3 linked regions of the Drosophila melanogaster genome follow. The protein of the gene in region 3 interacts with the protein of the main gene of each other region in a pairwise test. Each region holds a gene or a part of one and is shown on either strand. Other genes may lie near its edges.

What was found. Proteins that work in one complex are often made in the same cells at the same time.
Region 1: the proteins of CG17193 (region 3) and Tsp39D interact in a two-hybrid assay, tested with the Drosophila melanogaster proteins (one large-scale study listed by BioGRID).
Region 2: the proteins of CG17193 (region 3) and CG13795 interact in a two-hybrid assay, tested with the Drosophila melanogaster proteins (one large-scale study listed by BioGRID).

The regions. Positions count from the first base shown.
Region 1 is NT_033779.5:21,341,971-21,348,032, reverse strand, and holds the start of Tsp39D (tetraspanin 39D), read right to left. Parts: upstream 3,427-6,062; 5' UTR 3,297-3,426; intron 1-3,296.
Region 2 is NT_033779.5:7,722,119-7,728,884, forward strand, and holds CG13795 (uncharacterized protein), read right to left. Parts: upstream 4,181-6,766; 5' UTR 3,978-4,180; coding exon 3,815-3,977; intron 3,549-3,814; coding exon 3,417-3,548; intron 3,356-3,416; coding exon 3,192-3,355; intron 3,132-3,191; coding exon 3,043-3,131; intron 2,927-3,042; coding exon 2,457-2,926; intron 2,400-2,456; coding exon 2,251-2,399; intron 2,184-2,250; coding exon 2,055-2,183; intron 1,986-2,054; coding exon 1,779-1,985; intron 1,720-1,778; coding exon 1,438-1,719; 3' UTR 927-1,437; downstream 1-926. Other genes in the region: CG13794 (uncharacterized protein), read right to left, coding at 31-162, 365-527; CG13796 (uncharacterized protein), read right to left, coding at 5,379-5,639, 5,711-5,917, 5,978-6,106, 6,167-6,324, 6,389-6,728.
Region 3 is NT_033777.3:20,052,499-20,058,660, forward strand, and holds the start of CG17193 (uncharacterized protein), read right to left. Parts: upstream 3,600-6,162; 5' UTR 3,230-3,599; intron 1,593-3,229; exon of another isoform or gene 1,573-1,592; intron 1-1,572. Other genes in the region: CG4390 (uncharacterized protein), read right to left, coding at 4,013-4,876; mdlc (midlife crisis), read left to right, coding at 5,356-5,461, 5,520-6,162.

The DNA of each region.
Region 1 (6,062 bases), on a different chromosome or scaffold from region 3:
GATCGCAGGCTCCTGCCTCACGGTCGCCATGTAATAAACCAATATATGCCACCAATTGAGAACACGTGTTTTCCTTGCAGTTGGGTGCAGCCGTCAGGCCACCTTTTTATTTCTTCTTATCTCTTCGAGTAGCAGAAACGGTTCTGCCCGCTTAACCTCTACAGAGTGTCTAATCTTACCTAAATACTGCGACTGCGCCGCCGTCGACAGCGGCAGAAGAGCAGCGTATATATATATGTATAAGAGAGAGAGAGAGAGAGCTTATGCGCATATATGGCCAGCGGCCAGCGTGGGGATGCTGACTTAGCTTAAAGCATAAATGGGTGATCTTATATCACGCTCACTTGAGACATTTATTTATGCAATGCAACTAAGTGTTGCTGTGTACTTATAGGTACAGTGTACCCTCGATATATGCACATACTACATGCTATAAGACGCGAAGAAAAATAAACCAACTGCCTAACGCTATTTAAGCTCGTATACGTTTAGTATTCATTTTTATCCGTACTCTGTTAAAGTGATAATCATAGAACAAGATTCAAACACACCGGTCTTTTCATTATTCCTGTATGTTATTCTGTATGTGTAAGCTATTCCCGGCTAACGATATGGATTTCCTGTATTGAAGAAGTTTTAAAAACTTTTTTCCGGAGTTATTTCAATGTACAACTTTACCGAACCTTTACAATGTCAACTATTACGAGTATATACAAAATACATTAATTTAAACAAATTTTGCATTAAAAAACTGTTAAATGAATTTAAAAAGCAAGAATGAACGAGTTCCTCGAATATCAGATACCCGTTACTCAGCTTAAGCATTTAACATCCTTGTTGGCATATCGATAGAATTTGGAAAGAAAAGACTATTAAAAATATGAAAAAAGATCGAAATATTTTCCAAAAGTGGGTTCGCGACAGGATTCGGCGGGTTTTGTGCGTTAGAGTGGGCATTGCAAAAAGTTTTTTATCAAATCGACAGAAATTTACAAAACTAACAAGAGAGAATGCGAGAATAGTCGAGTTCCCCGACTATCAGATACCCGTTACTCAGCTAGTGTGAATGAGAACGCGAAAGTATCATTTATTTTGGGATATCAAGAGATATTGGGAAATAAAATGAAAAAAAATTTAAAAATTGTTCAAAAGTGTGGGCGTGACCGGTTGTGCGGTTTGAGTGGGCGTGGCAAAAACGTTTTTGGCAAAATCGATAAAATTTACAAGACTAATACATATGTGAACAAATATCAACACATTTTTCAAAAGTGTAGGCGTGGCGTTAGAGTGAGTGTGGCAACATGGGTCAAACTTGCGCTCCGTCTATGTTTCTAGAATCTGTATGCCTTTTAGCTTTTATAGTTCCTGAGGTCTCGACTTTCATGTCCAGATTGACTCGGCTATGGATCCTGATCAAGGATATATATACTTGATTTGGTCGGAAACACTTTTCAACGAATCTAGTATCACCTTTTAATCTGAGTAACGGGTATAAAAATAGGAAAATATATCAAAACAAACAGTGGGCGTACCGGTTTTGGGTGATTTGAAATAAACTTGCACTGCGCCTATGTCTCTAGAATCTTTATGCTTAATCTCAACCTTCTAGCTTTTATAGTTTTTGAGATCTCGGCGTTCATATGGACGCATAGACATTCGAGCAGACAGACAGGGACATATAGACTCGGCTATTGATCCTGATCATAACCTTTGACTCTACGAGTAACGGATATATAAATATCAACACATTTTCCAATGGTGTGGGCGTGGCAGCTTTGGCAGGGTTTGTGGGCGTAGCAACATGAGTAAACAAACTATGCCTCTGAAATCTATATGCTTAATCTCAATATTGTAGGTTTTATAGTTCCTCAGATCTCCACCTTCATACGGACGGACATGGAGAACGAAAACTAGGAAGGACAGGAATACATATGTACATACATACATATGTATGTATATTGCGCTTGCTGTAATAGTTGTGTAGTTTGAATGAGTTTGAACTCTGCACTGAAATAGGTCGGTTTTTAAATTATTAGTGCCACCCCACCACCAGCAATAGGCCAAGTATCGGCATTCAAAGCAATGGGAAAGGAATAGAAGACAAAATCGATAGCTTAGAAATAGTGTCAGCTGCGTAAAAAGTGGCTACACCTGCCACACGGATGACAATGTAGGGTAAAATACACACGTCAGCCGTATATTTCTTAGTACTGCGTAATAAACCAGTTTGGATATACGTATGTGTTAAGTGTTAATACATACAGAAATACTTTATAAGGTGGAAAAAGCGTTCTTCTACCTGTAACATCCTTTTAAGTGAATTCTTACTCTACGATTACCGACCATTTCTAATACTTTTTAAATACTTTAGCTTGCAGAAGCAAGCATCCATGTTTATTATTATATTATTATATTTAATATTGCTACTACATTGTACAGTGTTTGGTAGTGTTCCCATTGCTGAGTTAATAGTTCCTTAATTGATTTGCGCCCAGGTACCAGACGACCGAATTTGGAGAGCAGTTTTACGGTCCTGTCAGACTTATTTATATTAAACCGTTTTTAGTTTAAGCAAAATATGAGTTTATGTTACCTTGAAATTAAACGATTAGTTTGATTAAACCTAACCATTTATCTCTAACAAAGTTAGCTATTTATTTGAGACGACAACCAAATCCTGACTCCTTGACGAATAGTGCGCTAGTGCGATCTGGCCACTGTGCGTAACTGGTGGTTCCCGCTCTCACCAATTGTCATATTCATACACGTGTATTAACATATGAATCAATGTCCGCCTAGCGGCTTTATTGAGAGGATTTCCCCATGTCCAGCTGCATGTGTGCATAATGATGCTTCTGGTTGATGGTTGCGTGCCGTCGCCTACTTCCGGAACCCGCTTGTAGGCGGGTGGCGGATATATATAGGCATTACCCACACTTCACGAGCTTTTGACTGACCGTTTGTGTATCTCCAATTAGGCGCATCCCAGCACCTGGAGCACCATCCACTACGACTTGGAGCAACTTCGCGAGGCATGTATCACACCGGACCGCAGCTCCTGCTTGCCGCAAGCACGCAAACTAGTCAACAGAATCACTCTCCACACTCTAGATCTCAGGTAGCACAGGGAGAAGTGCATATTGTTCGGTCGCATCCCTCACTTAAACCACTTTCCACTCTCCCACCAACATACATACACACAATTACTCCTCTAGGGCAATACTAATACCAATTTGTATGGCGCAAGGGACCGCATCATCTATTGCAGCTGATTGGTTTCACCCAAATATTTATACCTTTCAAATTTAGGACCAGGACGCAACGGTTCGCTTGATTAACTCGCACCCGCGCTCTAATCAGAACAACAGCACTTTCGATGGATGTTTTCAAGTGAGACTTGACAAACAGTAGAGCTACGATGTGATAATTCCAACGGAGGTATCGATAGCGCATGGTCATCGATACCTCACGCCAATCAACGATTGCTGAATGACTCCACTATTTGTTATCTTATCCCGGTGCTGGAAACATTATTTCAAGAAAATCAATTTTGGTTAATTTTCTTTTTATTACGTGTTGATGCTAGAACCGCTTTTTCCCCTCTCAGCAATAAATCTTGTATTGCCGAATACAAACGCTATTTTAATGTTGGTCTTTTCGTAATTATGTTTAATATGAATGTTCAGTAGCAATTGCAGGTGATTTTGAGTTGCCATACCAACATCTACACAGTTCGGGAGCTGCCATACTGCAGTATACAGAAGTCGGGAGTTGCCATAATTTTTTACTAAAGTAGACTGGATTCGAATCGTAGATAAAAATTGTATAACCCAGATTGATTATAAAAGAAGCAATGTTAAGTTTAGCTAAAAGGAGATTCGATTACTGTCATAAAACTATGTTTGTAGTGAAAATTAAAACAGGATTGTATTCAATTTTTGCATATACATAAGTCCCTGATGACATCAAATGAAATGCCAAGAAAACGAATGCAGTCGGACATAGGCATATAGAGTCGTCTGGAGATTCCGATCAAGAAAAGAGAATCAGGAACATTTACATGATATATATACCTTCCTCCCATTAGATAAATCCTCTTCGCTTTCGCGGTGGTTTATGAAATATATATAACTTAGCACGTTCTCTACTCAACAACGCTTTAAAAAATTTCCACCGTGTTTTAGCTCTCCTTTTGCTTTTGATTTAGCCCTTAAACCAACCTTCTTGGCAAGAATAAGGTGGAATCGGTTTATGTTATATTACACGTTACACGTTACACGTGGGCTTGGAAATTTTGTGATTCTTGTGGGCGTGGCAACACGGACATGGCTAGATCAACTCGGCTTTTGATCTTGATCAAGAATATATATAAATTATATAGTCGGAAACGCTTCCTTCTGCCTGTTACATACTTTTCAACCAATATTGTATACCCATTTACTCTACGAGTAATGGGTAAAATAGAAGTGAACCATTGTTGAATGGTTTTAAATTAAAAACCTAATGATATTATAAATACATTTTGCCCATTAAAAGAGTATATCATAGGATTTTTTCTGTATTCATACCAGGACTTTGAAAAATTTGATGCTTGGGGATGAAAAGTGGTAAAAGTGTAAAAGGATATATGTAAACAAGAGAAAATGTTATACTCGATTTCCCGCTCATCAGATACCCTTTACTCGGCTAGTGGAAATTCGATCGCCAAATTTTATAATTTTTCCAGGATATCGATTGATTTTGGTGAATAAAATGAGAAAAAATTTAAAAATTATTGGCGTGACAGTTTTGTTCGTTTTGTAGGTGAAAGAAGGGTCGTGGCCACATTGTTTTGTATACCGATAAAACTTGGCAAGACAAATAATAAAACGGAAAATTCTAAAAATATTTTAAAAGTGTAGGTGTGGCAGTTTTGGGCGGTCTTTGGACGTTGAAGTAGGCGAGGCAAAAAGTTTTTTGGCAAATCCATAGTAATTTACAAGACTAATAAAAATATGAAGAATTATCACAGAATTTTTCAAAAGTGTTGGAGTTCCGGTTTATTCTTTACTTTATTAAATAATCTTTGCTTTAAACGTGAGAATGTATACATATTATATTATTATATTATGTATACATATTACAGATTCCATATAATTATGAATTTGTTATTTTTATCATTACTTATTTAAATATTCATATACTTTTCTTCACTTGTACTAAGCAAATGCTCTTCAAAATAGGCTTCTCATATAATTTACAGCACTGGGAAAACGTTTCTAATTTTTGAATTAATATTTGATCCTTTGGGGTATTTCTATATAACATTAAATATATTATATGAGTCTCTTCCTGTTCATTTACATTGCACACCTATGGAGCTACACATCTATATTGCGAGTTTTATTTACGAATATATTTCGTCCTACTTTGCGTATATTTAGCACAATCGTAACAGAATTTTTAATGTTCTCCAATCTGTACGATTAAAAAGCACTTCGCTTAAGAATATTGCTATATAGACCCCGCTCAGAATTAATTTCGATATCTTCGCTTAATTGCAGATTTTCAGCTATTCCTTCTAGGCTTTTCACTTAAGTATAAAACATATCTGTATGTATATACATAAATGTATTTATATGCGAAATTCACCAAAAATAAACTTGTTTTTTCTTGGTAACAGTACTCTACTGTCTCAATTATCTACCGGTAACATTTAACCACTTCAGTTAAACACAGGTACATCGATTGCAAATTGAATAAAAAATAAAAAAGAATAATTGTACAATAGAAAGGATTCCCGAGGAAGTGAAAAGTTTTATTAGAACTTGCATTAGAACTTTTTCCGAAATGTTGTGTTTAAACAAACACACTGACACGCGGGCTTGATTGACAGAGAAGGTTTTGAAACTCAGTTCAGAATCTTGCACTGCTTCGAACAAATCGATGTTTTGGAGTTTGTGGAAGAGCTTAACATCCTGCGACCTACCCAAAATACGAAATCCTGACTAATCAAACATAATAAACAAGCTTAACTCGACACCGAAGAGGAGAGAGTTCCCCCAACTACAATTTTTTACTTA
Region 2 (6,766 bases), on a different chromosome or scaffold from region 3:
CAATTATTTAGTTTTTTCCTTTTAACATACCTTTAAAAAACGGTGACAGCCGGAAGGCGGAGATGAACCCACTGCTTGAGAACTGGCCCATGAAGGAATGAATGACCATGATTGGAACCAAATATATCACCATGTAAACTAGGTACGGCAGCATCCCAAAAACTTAGGAAGGCAAGAATCCAGAAAATTTCAGTGTTGCTACTATTTTTAACAGGCATTTACATTAATTAAATTATATTTATTACTCTTATCTGATCAGAGCGTAGGAAATTTACATTTTACAATCAACGCCCCTAAAATGAATAGTCTAACCTTGGAGCATATATGCCCTATACCTATAGATACCTCTGTTTTTAATACTTACTGCCCATATCAAAGAAGAACCAATACGAGGCCACAAATATATCCAGTTTAAGGGCTAATCCAAAGCAGGCAAATATATAGTCGGTGGGCTTATCCCACTTTCCTCTCTTCAAGTCGGGGGAAAAGGGTTTGTGCCCACTATCATACGATGTTTCATATATCATTTTGTGACGTTAGTATAGCCCGGTAAATTGTGTGAGCAAAGGAATTTGAAAAACTTTTGTATAAAAAGAAATATATCCAATTTCACACGCCGATGGAGGTACTTATTATTAAAAGCTTTGGCAAACAACAAACATTTCGCGAGCGTTTTAAATTGACGAACTAATTAGTAGCAGCGATGCGGACGAACTAAATCCGATTCCGCTGATAAACCGCAGTGTAGCTGATTCCACTGGACTGAGATGCTCATAGCCTATCCCGGACCATTCACACTAGATCGGCCATCAAATACACTTTTAAGAAATAATGTTAAGCATAATTTTTTGAATAAATAGTCGGTATTACTTTGTAATACTATGTAATGTGAACAAGTTCAAACAGACAGTAAGAAGATCCCTAATAATTTAATGTAATATGATGTATATTAATTTGGATATGTTAAAACAAACATCTCAATGAAACTAATACCGTTCCTAAAAGTAGTGAGTCACCGAAGTGGCATTCTGAAATTAAAAGGCATTTCTATACACTAACATGACGTCAATAAGAGTACTTTGCTTATAACCATAATTAATCAATAACTACATTAATAATTACACGTTTTTAAAAGCTCTCTCTCTCTCTCGATAGACAAACTATGTAAGCATTATAATTGTGGACGTCACAGATTTTTTAAGCTCAACTTTATTAACTTTTCCGAGATATCTACGTTTCTCTGGACAGTCACACGTGTGAACCTGATCGATTCAGGTGAGATAAACGCTGTAAAACCCATTGCTGTAAGCATAGTGCAATAAGTGTAGCATTTCCACCTTTCACAATATGATTGTATATATATGCATACCTTTTTTTAAATACGCATTAAAATTACTCATATATTTATATTTAGTACATTTCTAAGTGCATCAGTAACTAGTTGACCTCCTCAGTAACCTCGAAGAGTTGGTGGGTCATCTCCGTGTTGTCCACAGCTTCCTCGTACTGCTGGCGGTGCTCCATCTCAACCGGATACCAATCGGTGGGTCGGCAGGTGCGTTTAAAGCGTTCGCAAAAGGTGCCCGTGCTCTGGTAGAGGTAGTAAAATCCATATCCAGGAATGGCCAGAATGGGCAAAACCACGAGGACAATTGACATCACGAAGACCACTGTTGTGGAATAAGAGTGCTCCGATATGGACAGAGCAATTCCCGCGAGCTAGTTAGTTAAAAGAATATGATTATTCAAAGCAACAAGCAACTAACTAACTAACTAACCAGACAAATGACTAAAATTATTGGAGCTATAAAGCGGAGTATGAAAACCTTCCAGGAGGCAAAGGGCTGGCCCAACATGAACTCAATATCTCGCTGGAATCGTTCGCGACCATAGATCCACAAAACCACCAAAAGGAGCAGTAAGTGCAGCAAACTATGTGAGAAAATGGCATCAAGACCCAAGGCCGAAAAGAAAATAATGCCATGCTAGAAACGGAAAATTGTTTAAAATATTTCTTAATAATATATCTTTTTTGTGTAAACTTAAGTACTTACATTGGTGCAAAAGTAAAAGGAGCAGAGTGCAATACCTCCAATTAGCCCAAAGGTCACCTCTTGTTTTCTCACTCTAAGTACTTCGAACTCATCAAACAAACTTTGCAAAACCGTGAAGATTTGCGTCGTCTGAAAATAAAATTATTTAAGTTTAGTAGCGTGAAAAATAAAAATTAATTGTGTAGATTATCATCACCATCACAATTAGAGCAGCAATTAAAAGCATAGAATAGTATATAAAAGTCCATAGGTTTGGCCAAGCCATTGTGGACAAGGCAGAAGCACTTGACAAATATAGCAGCCAATGGCTCAAAACATGTCCGTTATCATCAACATCGGATAGTTCTGAAAGGGATAACTTCAATACAGTAAAGATATTGCAAATCTATAAAGTGCTATTACCATTAAAGTAGTGTTCCAGCATAAAGGAAACCATGCCAAACATGATATAAATGAAGATCTGTCCAAAGGAAATAATCCAACTATACGACATGATGTCAGTCTTGAAACCGTTGAAACTGGACAGAGTTATTACACTGCCCCAACCAGCTCCGAATGCATGAAGAACCATGATGAATGTGGACACTACTCCCATGGCCATGTCACTTGCCTTTGGAGTCACATATCTGTGGAGCCCGTTAAGAGCTCCCGGAAGGAACAGGAATCGCACAAAGCACACTAAAAGAAGAACCAGGGTAACAATCACCATGTAGCGTATAAGTTTTCCAAACTTGGCCGTCTCTGAGAATTTATAAAAAATAAATGCAATCACAACCCAAATGATTGCGAATAGGCCAACAAAATGCCAAGACAACTCGTAATCCTTATACCAATCCGGAACCGCATCCTGTTGCATGCTATCATAGTGATTTCTGTAAACATAGAGTTAAAAAGAAATTATTTTTAAACAATTCTTAAAATAATATTAAAATATTTGCATTGGATTAATTAGGTAATGTTTTATTGCTATATAAATAGGAGCACTTACTGAAAATAGAGCACGGATGGTACATGGAGCAGCTGGTGAGATCTGTTGTATTCCGAAAAGTCCTCCAAGATCAGTGTCTTATTACAAGACTTAAATATAAAAAATGTACTTAGTCTTCAATTCAATTTAGTCATACACAAATTTCATACACTAGATAGCGTTGCACTTCCATTGTGCCAAGAACTCAAGCCCTCACAGCTCCAAGGTAAAGTGGGTCGAAATGAGTTTATTATGAACAGAAGTGGAACCGCAGCAAAAATGCTATAGTAAATTAGCATGGAGATAGTTAAAAATCCACTCACATATCCCATGCCTGAAATTGATATTTCGATCAATATTTAATATCTGTTTAAACTTCTCGGTTACGTACGTACCTTTAAAGAAAGGCGACAGGCGAAAGGCGGAGATGAATCCACTGCTGGAGAACTGACCCATGAAGGAGTGAATGACCATGATGGGAACCAAGTAAATGGACATATATACAAAGTACGGCAGTATTCCAAGAACTGGTCCAAGCAAATAGTGTATTTAAATAAATGCATTCAAAGATAAAGATTAAATTCTGATGTATAAACTGTTATCTCTTGTGCTGTATAAAGAGACACAATTATTACATTAAATACATAAATATCGACAGAATTAGGCATTGTTTTGTATGTATGTCAGATGAGAAGGTAAGAGAACATTAGCAGAGCACCGCCCCTCCACAGATTAGTCTAAATCCGAACCTTATCAGCAATATAATATACGTAGTCGCCCTTGCGTTACTTACTGCCCATGTCGAAGAACATCCAAAACGATGCCACAAAGACATCCAACTTCAAGGCTAATCCAAAGCAGGCGAACATAAAGTCCGTTGGCTTATCCCATTTTCCTCGATTCAGATCGGGGGAAAAGGGTTTATGCCCGGTATCATACGATGTTTCATATACCATGTTGAACTACCCACAATATTACCGCCAAAATGTGGGCGAGAATGGATTTAAGCAAATTTTGTAAATAAGTATATATAACTACGATCTAATTTTACACTCCCGCAGAGGTAATATTAGTATATATATATTTTTTTTCTGCAACCGATCCGCGAGCGTTTTACTCTAAATTGACGGACTAATTAGTAGAACCGATGCCGGCAAACTGAATCCGATTCCGACAGCAGGCCTCTGTTTAGCTCATCCCTCTTGAATGAGATACCCCAACTTAGGCGATGCACACTTGGTCTTTAATCACACAGTTATTACTATGGAAGTGGGGTATCTTTATACCGAGATTCATTTGAAACCTCCCTCTAATTTCAAACAGATCTGTTGTCAAAATAAAGATATGCTAGGAAAATATATATCTAAGCGAGTTATCTATAGTTTCAAGCTTTCGGTTATCAAAATAATTGTAAATTTGTTATTACACGTTTTGTAAGTGTATTTCCGATCTCGACCATAAATTTGCATTTATTGTTATTTTGCTTTAAATTCAGATTATTAGAGCTCTTATATCTGTGCCTGTCTCTCTTATGTGCGCCTATCGTCGTGCATTGCCAAGTTCATTTCGATTTTGGAACTGGAAACTGATATGGTCGTGCTCGGGAAATGGGATGACAAACAAGACAGCCGCAAAGTTATCAAATCTGGGGGAAAACTCAGACAGCAATGCAAAAGCAAGTAAACCCCATAACGCCCTGGCTGTTGATTTCAATAACGCATTGATAATGTCTTAATATTTGTTTTTTCTTATGTTTGTTTGTTATTAGCGATTAGTTTTAGGTAATAATATACAATTACCTCATATATTTTTCAAACTATTATTATTTTGCATGCATTTAAAAACATGCTTCTAACAATCTACTCTAAACGTCATATATTCTATAACTAAAATTCCAAAATTATTATTATTATTAGTGCGACATTAAATAGTTTAAAGTGCTGACAGCCGTATATCATAAATTTAACTCTTTTCCTTATACGTTTACCAACTTCAAAAAAAGACTTCAACATTTTCAATGCCTAAAAGGTAAAATTTTATTAGTTCATAACAATATTTTTGGCCGAAGCTTGTTGAACATTTTAGTAGGAAACTACTAAATATCACCAGTATATTGTTCACTATAGCTAGCTTTTGGAAAATATCAGTACAACTTCATTACAACAACTAACAATCGCCATTGCCAATGGATCCGCTTATTTATATACTAGTGTGCGTGTTTGTTATTGTATTTTTTGCATGTGTGAATGTGACCGCATATGGGTGTATAATAAAAGTGAGTTCAGTTCAGTTCATTTGTCAAGTGACGACGCTGTAAGTATTGAGTTTTGATCTAGGGAGTATTCGATATTTAGGCACTATGTGGTGTTGGCATTGGCATCTATAACCAGCATCTCCGAGATGCCCATGATTTCCTCGTAGAATCGCCGGTTGTCCGCATCCACCGGATGCCAGTCATGTGGTGCGAGGCACTGTTGCAATCGCTGGCGCCAATCGCCATTCGTCCGACATACCTTGTAAACCATATAAGATATGGCCGTTAGGAGAATCAAGCCCTGACTCACATAAATCAGGACATCGTGTATGCGATCACGCGTAAATAAATAGGTTAGTTGAAACTGCAAGAAATTCCAATAATATCAGTCATTAACTATATACAAATAATTTTATAATAATAACCACTACTCACCAGACACAGTCCCAGAAAAATGGGCGTGGCAAAGCGTATAAAGAAAATTTTGAAACTTGAGATCGTTTTGCCTAACATAAACTGCAAGTCGCACTGGAAACGAACGCGTCCATAAACCCAAGTGGTCATCAGCACAAGGATTCCCGAAATAAGCAAGTGTGTAAACACTGCCAAATTTGGCAGCTGAGTCAGCTGACTAAAGCCCAACTGAAATGGATAATTATGTATTACAGTATGCTCTCAGAAATGAAAAGAATTTAAACTCACCTGAGTACAAAAATATACAGAGGAAGCTGTGAGGCAGAAGACTAGCGATGAAATTACCAGAATTCTTCTTGAACGCAATGTCTCGAACTCATCGAACAAGGCAGTAATAACGGACATCATTTGAATGATCTTTGAAAGATACAATTAAATTAGATAAAAATTCTTAAATGGGTGCATATGTAAACTTACCAAGGCACATAGTTCTGATAAAAATATCATGCCAAAGAACAGAAATGCCCAGAGATTTGGAGTCGTCGTAAAACGTCCAAACAAGTATGAGAAGCAGAGATACAGAAACTGCATATGATGCTTCTCATCCACATGTAATGGCATCATACCAACGTGATCTGTTTGAATATAGCAATTTAAAAATTGGAATTGTTTTCAAAAACAAAATTCAAGAGGCCCTACCCTCAAAGTGATCGTGGGCCACATTGCAGCAGAGCAGTCCCATTAACCCAATGGTAATATGAGTAAGGCACACCCAGATACTCAGTCTTTCGGCATCTCTGCGAAAGTTGTTGTAGCTAGACAAGGTTATGATACTGCCCCAACCGGGCCCCAAGGCTCCGCCGGCCATCAGGAGGGCCGTGCGAGCCGTTGCCAAAATGCTGTCAAAGCTATCCAACTGGGGCATCCAATAATAATGCAGGGTATCAAACGTGACTTGCTCGTGAATAAGTAAGTACAAGAAAACAGCGACGAAGAAGCCGAACATCAGCACGCATGAACATCGCAGAACTTTCCCAATCTAAAAAATTAGGGCTGTTAAATTATGTATATTTTTTA
Region 3 (6,162 bases):
TGTATGTACGTGTGTGAGTGAGTGTCCTTGCTGGTGTATCTGTGTTGCTTTATGGTGGCGTTGCGTGTGTATGGTGACGGTTTTCGATGCTTTGGCTGAGTGTGTGTGCGTGGAGTACGCCACATCCAGTTTACTGGGCATGGCGTGTGCGCACGAGTGCCATTGTCTAAATTATTTGGATGGCGTACGCTTCCGTTGAATTTGCGTGCCCAGCACCGCAGTCCCTACGACCATGGAGCCTACTTCTCACCCAGCTCTTCGCCGAGAGTCCTCTGATGCCTTCTGATGGGCCACTCGGCGTCCCAAAAACAATACATCAATTTGCTCGTATGCACGTGGCCCGGGCGTTTGTCATCGCAAGTGATTCCTCATGATTGGCCTAATTGTCAGTCGGGTCAGAGATACCCACACCCACGTCTTGTTTCAATGGAAAACCGATTCGATCTCTCCATTTTCTTTTATCACATGAAGAACTGCATACACATTTGCGCAAAGTGTGTGGGTTCTGGGATAGACTTTTAAAAGTCATTGTTGCCTTGACATTTAAAAGGATATACAAAAATTAAGAAATGAAATTGTTTATTTCTTGTGGATAAATACGATTTTATGGTGTGAATTATTAGTAAGAGCAACTTAAACGAAATTACAATTTTAAAGAGCTATCTAAAGTGTATATAAGATCTTAAAACTGTAATATTTTGGATGATAAAATCTAAATGAAATGCTTAAAACTTGTTCATTACGATCTCATAAATTTGTGTAAACTCATATGTGGAAAACAATGTAAACATTATAAATATATTCATATTTGTTTTAAAATCTAATCGGCTTACGAGTATTAGAGTGTGACAGTAACATTTGACGCACAGCAAGCATGGGAATTTAATAATATGTGTCAACACTGCGTATGCGTGATAAACGTTCGAATAAGGTCCACACTAGAACGCACGTGCTATGTGAGTGGTTTCCCAGGTTCAATATGTACATAAAGTTAATTGATGTGCTAATGGATGCTTTATTTTAGAACGACTCTTATTTATATTGTGCCGATGCCATTTAATTGGGAAAAGGCTACAAATACATACTTTCGGTATACTCTTTATACGAAGTACATATGTTCGCTAAGATATTGAATATATTTTTTTGTATATAATCAGCAAATTTACTTCAATTTAATCGATACCTAATGCAAATATATCTTGTTCACCAAACGACCAACTTTGACAAATAAGCGGATATTTTTCCTCAAATAGATTCTTCCGAACTTACGTATTCGCAAACGAATGACAAGTTTCTTCCTCTCGCTTTTCTTATATTGACTTTTATTGATTTTACGTTCGGTTTATTGGAATTTTCTCTTTTAAGGTCTTGCCAAACAAATCTGTTTTCCCCTTGAACTGCTCAGGTAAACACTTGTATTTGCCCACCTCAGTACACAATATTTCGATCCTCCGGGGATTTGGTGCGGTGGTCGAAGTGGCTTACCAGTAATTAGGCCGGGGAAAACTTCTCGACCAAGATGTTTAATAACTGTACACGTGTGGGGCAACAAATTTAAGCCCAAAAACTTACCAGCTTCATGTGTATTGCATCACCTTTTCCAATTGCAAGGGATTCAAGGGAAATCGACGCTTTTACTGTCTTAGCGCGCTTTTCTTGCGTCTTTTCCTTGAATAATGGAAAAATAAAAAGTGAGCCGAGTGCCTCAAGCATCAGTAAGCACTATAAAAATGGAAATATTGCATTTTATATGGCGGTCCGCTTTGAATGAGCGTAAACGATTCTTACACAAGATTTTAGTACGACGCGTTTAATAGTTAAATGCTGTTTAATGGTAGCACGATACCGAACTTTTCAGAAGTTGATATTTAAACGGGCGTAAGAAATCTAAATTTTTTTTGCCAGCAAACGAGGTGGCTTTATTACCGCTTCTTACTTAAATAACGTAAATTAATATCCGGCGAAAAAAATTAATCCACTCGTAATAAACTGAAAAATGAGAAGAGGAGAATGGCAATAAAAAATAAAAGTAATTTTGGCAGTACAAATTGAACATTCTACGCTGGTCGCGTAAATAATTTTCACGTGTGCATTGAATTTTGTTGGTTTCTATTTCGTTTTTTTGTCCAAATTTCAATTAAGAAGCGTGTCAAATATGTGTTGAATAATAATTTAAAAATTATGTTTATAAGTAATCAATACGTTCAGCGAAATATTTGTCATAATGTAAAGCAATTTGGTCAGCTAGGTAATAAACTGTACTGAGGTTATACTTTACTAGTCATATAAAATTTGAAATATCGTTCTTGAATGCTAATTTCGAATTGGGCTTGTGCGAATTATGATGATTTATCTTAATAAAGAATATTTTAAATTTGCCTTGGGTAGACTGTTATTTCATTTTATGACACATTCAAGCTATATGAAAATGTGATATCTTAAGCCTTTGGCCATGTTTCTTAGCCTAAGAATATTTTAACAAAAAACAAGATTTTCTTTGCTTGAACAATTTAACGTTTCTCAAACGAACATAAAGTGGAAAATTCGTTGTAATCTCTTTCTTGACAGCCAAGGAACAGAAAGGAACGTTTTCGTAGCTGCCAAAAGCATTTTGCAACCTCTTTTGAAAGATCAAGTTCATGGCTTTTTGCCTTTGAGTCCCACCAATCCCATCCGCCAAAGAAGTGTTCGAAATTTAAATGAAGCTCTGGTAATGAGAAACCAAGACTGTTTTTCTTTAAGCTTAATTCTAGCCCAAAAGTACGATTGCCCCAAAAGTAATAATGGAAAATTTATAATGAGTGAAATAACAATTCTAAGTCTAAGAAGAGCCCAAAGCAGTTCTGCAAAGTCCCTTTGATAATAAAACCATAAAATTCAATAGCCAAATCATAATATGCAAATGATGGCCAGTGAAAAAAACAAGGCTTAAATACTTTAAATAAGTTTGAAGCCCAGCACCCGTGGCAGAATCGACAAACTTGATGGATGGCGAAGGGATACGGAGCGTGAACTTGACTCTGAACTGTGAAAAATGGAGTGCTGATGGAAGTGTAAAAATGCCAGCATGCAGTAAAACGTCGGCCATAAAACATGTCGTACAGTTGCACATAAAAATTGGGGAAGGTGCTACCAATACCACACCTGACTAGCTGACTCGCTGACAGAATGTCAAGATCTGAGCTCGGTTTGAAATTGATTTACATGGGCCATATGGCTAAGGGCTTACCATGGGGCTTTGTTGTGTGCCAACTGCCATTAAATGGCTAATTAAGATTTCAGTCCGCTGGCAGTCGTCCAGCAGCTGGCCGCAAATCTCACGCCTTTTCAAATCCCTTTTTTTGGTACCCGATTTTCCGACCCGTTGGTATATAAAACACAAAAGCGCGCGAAGTTACACAAACAAAGGGGGGTCCAAAAAACAGGACTATCTCGCGCACACACGCAGTCACGCAAATACAGAGCTGGCGACTCCGATTGGTCCTAGTAAATATGGCGCCAAACGAGTCGAGAATGTCGCCTTTTGGTACCTCCGTTCGGTTCGGTTCCCTCTGTCACTAGCACATCTATTCCATCAGACGGCGTTTTTTCTACTGATGAATGAATCGTACGCAGGATGCCAGGATGCGGAAAGTTTCCAGCATGCCGTGGACCAACAACCGGAAAGCTTTTACTACGTTGCGAGCTTTTACCCTTACCACAAGTCCGGGAAAAAGTCCTTAGGAATTCGACGAATGCTGAATACCCATTACTTAAGTTTTTGTTTGTGAAAGGAAATTGCTGAACTTAAAACCGAAATAACAAAGTACACGCCATTTGTGTATAATCTTCTGTACATTGGCACCTAGAATGAATAAAAATATTTGTTTTTCAAAGTCCAAGTTCAAAGTTTAAAGTCAAGAATGTAAGAATACATTTTAGAAGCTCAGTCGAAATTGGTTTATTTACTGCCAAATTTACGTTGAATTATGGTTTCGGTGGAAACCAACGATTATGTACAAGCGGAATATCATCAAGCGGAAGCTGTGAGCAGGGCGGCATGGTAGGCGATGTGTTCGGCGACGAACGTGGCGATGTAGAAGTAGCTGTGATCGTATCCCTCGCGCTGCTTGAAGATGGTCTGGATGTGATCATTGCCATCTGCGGCAGCCAGCAGGTTCTCCGGCAGCAGCTGCTTGCCGGCCAGGAAGTTGTCTGCTGCACCTTGGTCGATGAAGAGCTCCTGCGGAGTGCTCTCGTACTGCGACACCAGATGCGTGGCATCCCACAGGGCCCAGTCATCCGGATTGGAGCCCAGATAGCCGGCAAAGGCCTTCTTGCCCCACGGGCACTCGGTGGGATTGGCAATCGGCGCAAAAGCGGACACCGACTGGTACAGCCCGGGATTCTTAAGCGCGCAGATCAGGGCTCCGTGGCCGCCCATACTGTGGCCGAATATACCGCGTTTACCGGGAACCACGGGCAGATTGGCATTGACCACATCCACCAGCTCCTGGGTCACATAGCTGTACATCTTGTAGTGCTTCGACCACGGCTCCTCCTTTGCATCCACATAGAATCCAGCCCCGCTTCCAAAGTCGTATGCATCATCTTGGCCGGCAATTTCCACGCCCCTGGGCGAAGTGTCCGGATTGACGACGATCAGGTTGTGGCGGGCGGCGTGCTGCTGGAATCCGCTCTTCTGGATGAAGTTCTCATGCGTGCAGGTCAGTCCGCTGAGGAAGAACAGCACCGGACACGGTTTACCCTCCAAAGCGGCCGGCGGCAGGAAGACGCCAAAGGTCATGTCGCACTTCAAGGTGTCCGAGCGATGGCGATACACGCGTTGCTCGCCCTCGAAGCACTTATTTGCGGACAGCTGTTCGAGCGTCATGTTCTGGGGGTGAAACGGAGTAAATAATTTGTAAGCTAAAACTGAAATCCATTAATTTTTAAAAACGCACTTGTTTTTTGACGATCTAAAAATAACAAGCGATAAGAAAACAGTGTGACCGCGTGTAGAGCGCCAAAAGTGGGAAGCTTTCAGAACATCTTGGTATCGATGATTAAAAGGGTAGATCCCATAGGAGTTAATATTTTCTAGAATTCTTTAAATTAATATAAATCTATTAATTATTACATATTGATGATGTATTAAATATGTAAAAATTGCAATTATTACAAACGAATATATTCCTCATAAGTAAACATTGAATTTTAATGTGCCCGTTTCATACAAAAATACTAACTCCATAACGATTGTTACGCAAGTACCATCACTAGCCGGGAAGAAGAAGCGCCAGTTGGCGAAATTGCTATTGTTAATTGTTGTTAACGTGAATTACTAGATAAGTACATAAATTTAAAAGCCGGAGAATGTCGGAAGAAGCGGCTAGCACCTCGTCCTTTGGCTTCAAGAAGCGGAACCTCAAGAAGGGAGCTGGAATTCGTCGCAAAAAGGAAACCAGCAGTGATGAATCTGGTAGGAACTTAATTTTACCGCCAACAAAGTAAATGGGCAAATATTATTGATATTCCAGCAAAAAGCAGCGATGAAGAGACCAAAGGCAAAGCCAGTGCTCTGGTGCGAGCCGAGAACCGCCGAAAGCGCACGAATCCCAACTTCCAGAGCACCAAGACAATGAGCAAAGCAAAGAGACAGGCGGGAGGAGTTGGTGATGATGGCTCATCCTCAGCCTCCGACGATGATAAACTGGGCATTGCGTACAAATCCAAACGCGAGGCGCTGCCCAGTGGACCCCAAGATCAGGGAGCTACATCGATTAACGAAATGGACACAGAATTGGATCGCGATGCGCAGGCAATTCATGCGCGAGCTCTGAAAATCAACGAAGAGCTGGAGGGCAAGGCGGACGATAAGATCTATCGCGGAATTAACAACTATGCGCAGTACTACAAGAAGCAGGATACAGCGGCAGGGAATGCCAGCTCCGGAATGGTACGAAGTGGCCCAATTAGGGCTCCTGCCCATCTTAGGGCCACTGTCAGGTGGGATTATCAGCCGGATATATGCAAGGATTACAAGGAAACAGGATATTGCGGCTTTGGCGACAGCTGTAAGTTTCTGCACGATCGCAGTGATTACAAAGCGGGCTGGCAATTGGAAATGGATCACGAAAATCAGCGAACGGGTGATGTAGACTCCGATGGCGATGATACCAA